Linked DNA regions of Schizosaccharomyces pombe. The protein of the gene in region 2 interacts with the protein of the main gene of each other region in a pairwise test. Each region holds a gene or a part of one and is shown on either strand. Other genes may lie near its edges. The genes, in order: SPOM_SPBC1773.16C and SPOM_SPCC550.08.

The links.
Region 1: the proteins of SPOM_SPCC550.08 (region 2) and SPOM_SPBC1773.16C interact in a two-hybrid assay, tested with the Schizosaccharomyces pombe proteins (one large-scale study listed by BioGRID).

The regions. Positions count from the first base shown.
Region 1 is NC_003423.3:318,198-322,126, forward strand, and holds the start of SPOM_SPBC1773.16C (transcription factor), read right to left. Parts: upstream 2,369-3,929; 5' UTR 2,284-2,368; coding exon 496-2,283; 3' UTR 1-495. Other genes in the region: gor2 (glyoxylate reductase), read right to left, coding at 3,465-3,929.
Region 2 is NC_003421.2:1,198,017-1,201,945, forward strand, and holds the start of SPOM_SPCC550.08 (N-acetyltransferase), read left to right. Parts: upstream 1-2,212; 5' UTR 2,213-2,972; coding exon 2,973-3,716; 3' UTR 3,717-3,929. Other genes in the region: fah2 (fatty-acid amide hydrolase), read left to right, coding at 174-1,775.

The DNA.
Region 1 (3,929 bases), on a different chromosome or scaffold from region 2:
AGCATCGCAGACTCAAGCCAGCTCAAGAACTGTTTATCAATAACCGAAAACAACCAATATATTAAAAGTACTAGAAAATTCTAAAAAGTGATGACCTGGGCGTATAGGACAACCAGTCTAAGTAAGCATTAATTTTTCAAATTTACGAAGTCGTTGGCTAATTATAACATAACATATGAGCTATAAGTTATTTCATGTTCTCGCTAAATTGGAAAACCCGCAAACCGTCAGATTAGAAATTGTTGAGATAATATTGCCCGGTGAATGAATCGATCAAAAAATGTTAAAGTGATAATATATATTGATTAAAACCATTATATTGTACATAGAATCCTCACGACATAAATATTTTCCGATACTTGTCGTCAAAGTAAATTAACTTGCCATATATATATCAAGCATGCGCTTTGAAAACAGTAAGCGATAAGAACACGATACAGTAAGCATTCAAATAAAAGGACATATTTAAGCCTTTAAATTATTAGTATATAAATATTAAATTGAAAAACTTTCGCTCAAGGCATCAAATGTCCCAAACACACTTGTATTTTGCAGCGCAAGATATTGCTCAGCCGATTGAATAAAATTCTCAGTAATAACTGATAACCTCTCAGCAAATTCTCCACTGATATCTTTCATTTTTAAAAAAAAAGCATGAATAGAGTATAACCGATCAACGTCCTTGACGCATATATCAGCGTCCAAGTCGTCGTCTTCCAAAAGATGTGAAAAAACCGTCAAAAAAGGTGTAAACGGACAATAAAGAAACAGCCAAAGATAACAAATATTTTTTGAAATAGGATCAAGAACCACCAAAAATCCCTTAATAACGTCAATAGCTGCTCTAGCCGTGCTTAAACAAATTTTTGATCCTTCAATGCTATCGTCCGCGAGATATAAATAAATAAGTGTATTGCAATATGACAGATATATTTCCACGCAAGCTGTAAAAAAATGTTGCTTAATAATATCCAGTTCTTCGGGCAGCCCGTTACCTGCCTTAAGTATCTCAAAATAATGCTTCATTTCAGAAGGAATGGCTCTTTCAAAATTCAATATCTTTGTTTGAATGTTAGATATCACACCCTTTTGACCTTTGTCTAAAAAAACATTATTACTATTGTAGAGCTTAGTCCTTATTTCGTGTTTCAAAACGGTTAACGATATTTCACATGTAAATATTAAATCTCCTTGGACGTTTTCAGCAAAACAATGAGCATAATTAATGTCAGGGTATTTGCACTCAATTTCCAGATCTCCCAAAACGGGAGGGGTTCCGAAAATCAAGGATGTGGTAGTTTCAAAAATGTAGCATACCCAAAATATTCGTCTATGCAATTCTGCCATATCTTGGTCAAGATCTTTGTCTGTACTTTCTTTGTGTAAATTTAAATCCTTAACCATCAAACAAACTTGACCGCAAAGTTTTTTGCAGAGATTGTACAACGACAGATGACTTGCGAACTGAATCATGATCACTAATGCTTGAATTTTTTCGAGTTGCGGTGTGAGAAAAAAGCCAGGTCTTTGAATTAGAAACCAGGAAGTAGCAAAAAAAGACTCCGCCAATTTACTATTATCGACTCTTTTGTCTCGAGATACAGCCAAAGCCAAAATAGCATAGAACGAGACAATCCAGGCACCCTTGACCAAATTCTTGTCTATATATAACTTTTCAAAGCTTTCCATGTACTGTTTCTTATAAAATATAGGCCAATTACAATTGATAAATCTGAAATACCAATCCAAGCATGTTTTAGCCCAATCTTTGTCTGGAACATCTCGAAAGGCACTTTTCCAAGTAGGAAAGCTATGGGGGAATAAATCGTTGCTGCTAAATCCATTAGAAAAAAAATTGGTTCTCATAGTGTATGCCTGCAATTTTGAATCCACGAGAGCCCCTGCACTCAAAATCTGTGAAACCAAAGATGGAAAACCCCCGGGTTTCACTTTCCTCTCTGAGTCCTGCTGAGATCTTAATAAAGAGAAAAGAGCCTCTAGCTTTAATTCGAAATTATCAAAACGTTTATCCAAAGCTTTAACAGCATTTTTCAACTCATTGATTTCATTCTCTTCGTCGTTATCATGATCTGAAGTGCTGAGCGGAGTGTAGAGTATAGGATACCTTTCGTTTTCTTGTACTGCTGCTCGATTGTCATGTTTAACCCGCTTAACATAACGACACTCTTCGCCATATACCATACAATTTTGGCAAGTTAATTCACCATTGCATCTTAGCTTCTTACGCCTGCACAATTCACAAGCATTTCTGATCCTTTTCATTTAAAAATGTGAGTCTTTTTTAGTTATATATTTATGCTTAATCTTGTCAATTGCTGTATATATTAAACACAGACTAGTTGCGAATGAGTTTTGCTGTGGGCTTTACGAATGGTCCATATTGATAACTCAACCTAGTCACACAAGTTTGATAAAGGGTAACCAGTCGATACTATTCTGGTTGAAAAAAAAAAAAAAGTTTAATAGTAATCAATATGAAAGATGTCGGACATTTTGCAGATAATCAAACACGATATTGAAGCAACCCATCTTTAGCTGCAGTTGATAAGATGAAAACTACATAGCTCATTAGATTATACCATTTTAAACATGTCTTTACCGTATAGATATTACGAAGTTAAAAAAAAGAGGCATTTTTCTTAAATTGAGGAAAGAATTAAATTTGTACGTTGATAAACGCCAGTTTCGTCGAAGTGAAATTGAACTTACTCAAGCCAAAACTAGGAACTAGTCTGCCTGACTTTATGGTTCTACGTATGCTTATATAAATAATACGAACTAGAAATATTTTCTTCATCTAATGACTAGTTTATGAATTGATATTGAATGAAATGGAATATTTTATGCACACGCGGGAGGATATCAGTTCGGAACCAAAATATTCTGACTAATACGAACACTTAGATAGACATTTATCGAAGGATCGATTCATGTACCATACCATTTTAAATTGGCAACAGCAGTTTGTAGTAGCCTGATATCTAAAAGATTATAGCAGTTTATGATTTTAGCCTTAGATCTAAGATAATTCGACTTGCCAATTTAATCACCGTTGCTAGCATCCTACTATAAAATTATGCGAGCATGTCTAGTATACGCACGCAAAGATAAATATCTTCCAAATCCTTGAAATGGAATCAGATATTCAATTTTTCTGTAAAGTCCCATTTTGGAAAATGAACTTCTACTTTTACTTTTCCCTGAGAGGAGGAGCATCTTAACAAGTGAATAATAAATAGTTAGCTTTAAAAAATAAGGATGTGATAATCTTTTCAACTATGTAAGTTTGAACAGGCTGACCCAAAAAGCAGCATTCAAAATGACAGAATCTCTCATATGTATTCTTTACAGATACGTGCTCACAAAAAGCAACAACATAAAAATGAATATTTTTTATTAACATATACTTTACTTGTGTAGATGTAAAGGACTTTTGACTTGCATCAACAACCATTCATGCCGAACGGACCGTTGACTGGATTGGTGGGGATTCCTGTATCAAGAAATGTTTCAATACTTGCTAAAACACATTCCTCTGTTTTAGCAACCGTAAAATTGGTATATACACCACAATGTGGTTGGATGGTTACTTTATCGCATTCCAACCAAAATTTATTGGGAGTAGGTTCATTCAAAAACACGTCGAGACCTGCACGAGCAACTTTGCCAGATTTTATAGCCTTGATAAAGGCATCTTCATTAATTATTGCACCACGAGCTGTGTTAATAATATAAACTCCATCCTTCATTTTTTCAAATTCCTTCGTGGATATTAAATCGTGAGTTGCTGGGGTAAGAGGGCAATTAATGCTAATTACATCACTAGAGCTTAGCAGTTCATCGAAAGAAACAAAAGACGCACCTAGTCTTTTCTCTTCCTCTGCCTCCAGGCGATTTCTATTATGATA
Region 2 (3,929 bases):
TTCAACAATTTTTGATATTGGTTTGACTTTTGTCAGTATTCCTTGGCCTCTTTGACTAAAATCCATTGCTTGCAACGTTGCATGTGCTATTGGTTTATATATACTTCATCATCCATACATTCAACTGAGCATTTTAATTTACTTTCATTCAATCCAACAGTTTCCTATTCACAATGACGATCGATTGGAGACAAATTGCTGCCAAATACTGTGCCCATCGAGATGGTAGTATTCCTGAACCTTTCAAAATTAAAACACTACCTAAGGATACCGTTTTGAATGTTACCAAAATTCCAAGTGAGTGTGGTCTCCTTACACCGAAGGAGATCGAACTCACTGAAAAATATGATGCGACAGCATTGGCCGAAATGATTAAGGATAGAAAAGTCACGAGTGTGGAGTTAGTCACTGCATTTTGTAAGCGTGCAGCCATTGCTCAACAACTTGTCAATTGTGTGAATGAACTCTTCTACGAGGAAGCTTTAGCTAGGGCCGCTGAGCTTGACGAGTACTATGCAAAGACGGGATCTTTGGTCGGCCCCCTTCATGGAGTGCCAGTTTCGGTGAAAGAGCATATTTCTATCAAAAATCACACTGCTACAGCTAGTTTTCTAGCGAAAGCCAACATTATTGCTGAGAAAGATAGTGATCTAGTTGCCACCGTTCGCAAAGCTGGTGCTGTTTTCTATTGCAGAACCCCCCAGCCTCAAGCTATCATGCATTTGGAAACATCTAGTAACCTTACGGGTGTAACCGTCAACCCTTTCAATCGAAAGCTCACACCAGGTGGTTCCTCTGGCGGAGAAGGTGCTTTGTTAGGCATTAAGGCGTCGGTGCTTGGCATAGGTAGTGATATTGGAGGGTCGATTAGGTCTCCTGCCGCTAACAATGGGCTTTTTGGCCTTCGCCCTAGTACCTTGAGATTATCACGCAAGGGTTGCCAAGGCGCTGTTAGTGGTCAAGAGACCATTCTCGGCGTAGTGGGTCCACTTGGTCGCAGCGTTCGTGACATGAATCTCTTTATGAAAGCTTGTATCGATAGCCAACCTTGGCTTGATGATGCATCGTTGTTACCAATGCCCTGGCGTTCAGTTGCCCCTCCTAAAACGCTCAAAGTTGGTATAATGCGTAGTGACAATGTTGTGAATCCTCAACCGCCTGTTGCTCGAGCCATGCAAATGGCTATTGATCAACTTTCTAAAAATCCCGATTTTGATTTAGTAGATGTAGAACCTTTGGATCACAAATATTCATGGGATCTTATTAGCGAAATGTACTGGCTTGATGGCGGAAAGGTTTATTACGATTTGTTTAACAAGGTGGGAGAACCAATTTTGCCTTTAACTGAATGGATTATGCATCAACCCAATGTTAAACCTCATGACATTACGGCCGTATGGAAATTGACTGCTGCTAGAGATGAATATCGCAATCGTTATTTGAAGCACCTTCAAGCATATGGAGTTGACGTTTTACTGACTCCAGTGGGACCTAGCCCTGCTCCTAAATTAGGGGAGGCAAAATATTGGACATACACATCTGTTTGGAACTTGCTTGATTTGCCTGCCGTAGTATTTCCTGTGACCACTGTTGATCCTAAGCTCGATGTTAAAGATGAGTCATACATACCGATGAATGAACAAGACGCAGCAAATTATGAAACATATTCCCCTGAAGACTATTTGGATGCTCCCGTAAGTTTGCAACTTGTTGGCAAACGTTGGCAAGATGAAGAATTACTGGCTGCCCTTGATAAAATTGTCAGCATGCTCTAGTAGGGTTATTGGCTTTTATATTTTTTGGAGTTTAATGATAATGGATATGTTCGTTTTATTTTTTTTTTATATACAAACTTTTCTATCTTTACTGTTCAATAGAAATGCGGTTTTTTATCAAATTGTTAGATGGACTTTGATTAAAAAAAGATGATAGGAGTAAGAACTACCGTACATATTTTGTTGTATGAAGAAAACTGTACAAGTAAAAAACATGCTATGTTATGACTTGAACAGTTTCCTGTCAGCTTTCTGGACTAGCTTATTAAAATTCGCACAATGATTTCTTTACAGATTTCTGCATAAAAGTATGAAAATAACTATACAAGTTCCTCAAGAAAAAGATAAAATAATCTTTGAAATTAAATTTCACAAAAAAAAATACTAAATGAAATTTGCTATATACTGCACCTTTGTTTGGGTTGATTGATTTTTCCAACAACGCATACCAAGTGTTTTTTGAATTTCTCATACCGTTTGGAAATTTTATATAGATAAGTTAGCTTAGTAAGGTAACCTTTAGGAAACTCAAATTAGAGCAGCCATACTTTTGTTTACCAGCATCGATCAATTTTCAAACATCTCTACAAACAACAATGTAGCACGTGTCTTGATTCATATACTTAAAGAGCTTTACTGTGTTTTCTCAAATGAGTACCAATAAATCCTATCGCAGCCATATACGGCTTTACGGTATTCTCCTTTAATTTCTCAATCGTTGATTAGAGTTGCGCGCCCTAATGCGTATTCCCAGCGTACAAACAAAGCGCTTCTCCATGGACAACTATCGCAAGCTATGGCCGAATATATGCCCGTCGGCCAAGATAGCACGGGTTAAGTGGTAGGCGAAAAACTTTGGCTACCATTGCTTAAGGGAATCTTCATTGAACTACGGCAATGAACTTAGCTCGCCGAAAGATCATGCCAAATTTCTTGTAATTTACTGGTATATATATGATGAAAATCTCGCTTCTAATTGCTTCAAAGCAAACGTGAACAATCACAGCTTCTTAAACGACAGTAGAAGATTATCGCGAATTACCAATTGCTCTTTCTAGTTTGCCAAATTGTGCTGGAATCACTCATCGATACATTTTTGTTTTATTTAGAACAGACTTGTATTTATATTTTGCGTTAGTGCTGTCTAAGTACATTACTCTTTAAGTACTGCTTCTTACTTTATCTTAAGTCTAAATCATGGCCGCTAAACGAGTTGAAGCTAAGGATTACAAAAAAGCTGCTGCTACTTTAGTAGATGCCTTCTTCGATGACCCTGTCTGCGTCTACCTTTGTCATACTACGAATGAACAGCAATTTAAAAAATTGATGACGGAGATGTTTGAGTATATTGTATATGCGCACATTATTCGCGGCCTTGTTCTGGAAGTCGGCGATTTTGCTGGAATTTCTTTATGGATGGGACCTGGGAATAACATGGATGATTGGTATTCCATTCTTCGTAGTGGTTTATGGCGCCTTAAGTATAAACTAGACGGAGAGGGTCGTAAGCGTTTCTTCAATGAATTTCTTCCTATTCTCAATGACACGAAAGCCGACGTTTTGAAAGAGCGTGATGACCATTCTTGGTATTTGGTCTATGTTGGTGTCAGCAGCAAAGAGCAGGGAAAGGGCTATTTGCGAAAGCTTATTGAGCCTATCTTTAACATCTGCGATCAGGAAGGTCTCCCTATCTATTTAGAGTCGAGCCATCTTCATAATCGTCCAATTTACGAACATTTTGGATTTGTTTACCAACAAAGTATCTACTTAACTCGTGACAACCAAAAGGTTCCTCTTGAGATTATGATTCGTGAACCTGAGACCGAATCCAAGGCTGAACAAAGTGCGAAGCCTAAAGCTGCTCTTAGTAAAACCGTATCTGCTTCGATTGCTGAGAAAGTAGAGGGTTCTCTCGCTGTATCATCTACTCCTGTTTGCTGAGCGAATCTCCTATTATTCGATTTTGCATAACCCTATTAACTCTTAATCTTAATTTCATTTTCTTATTTCCAGCCTAGATTCGAAATTCCTTATCCATTCAATCTCTAAACACTTTATTTAAAGCAGACAAATTTGGTTTTGCTATTTTTTATCTACAATCTGCATAAACACAATTTCTTTTCGTATTTTGAAAAATGAGCATACAGACTCGCT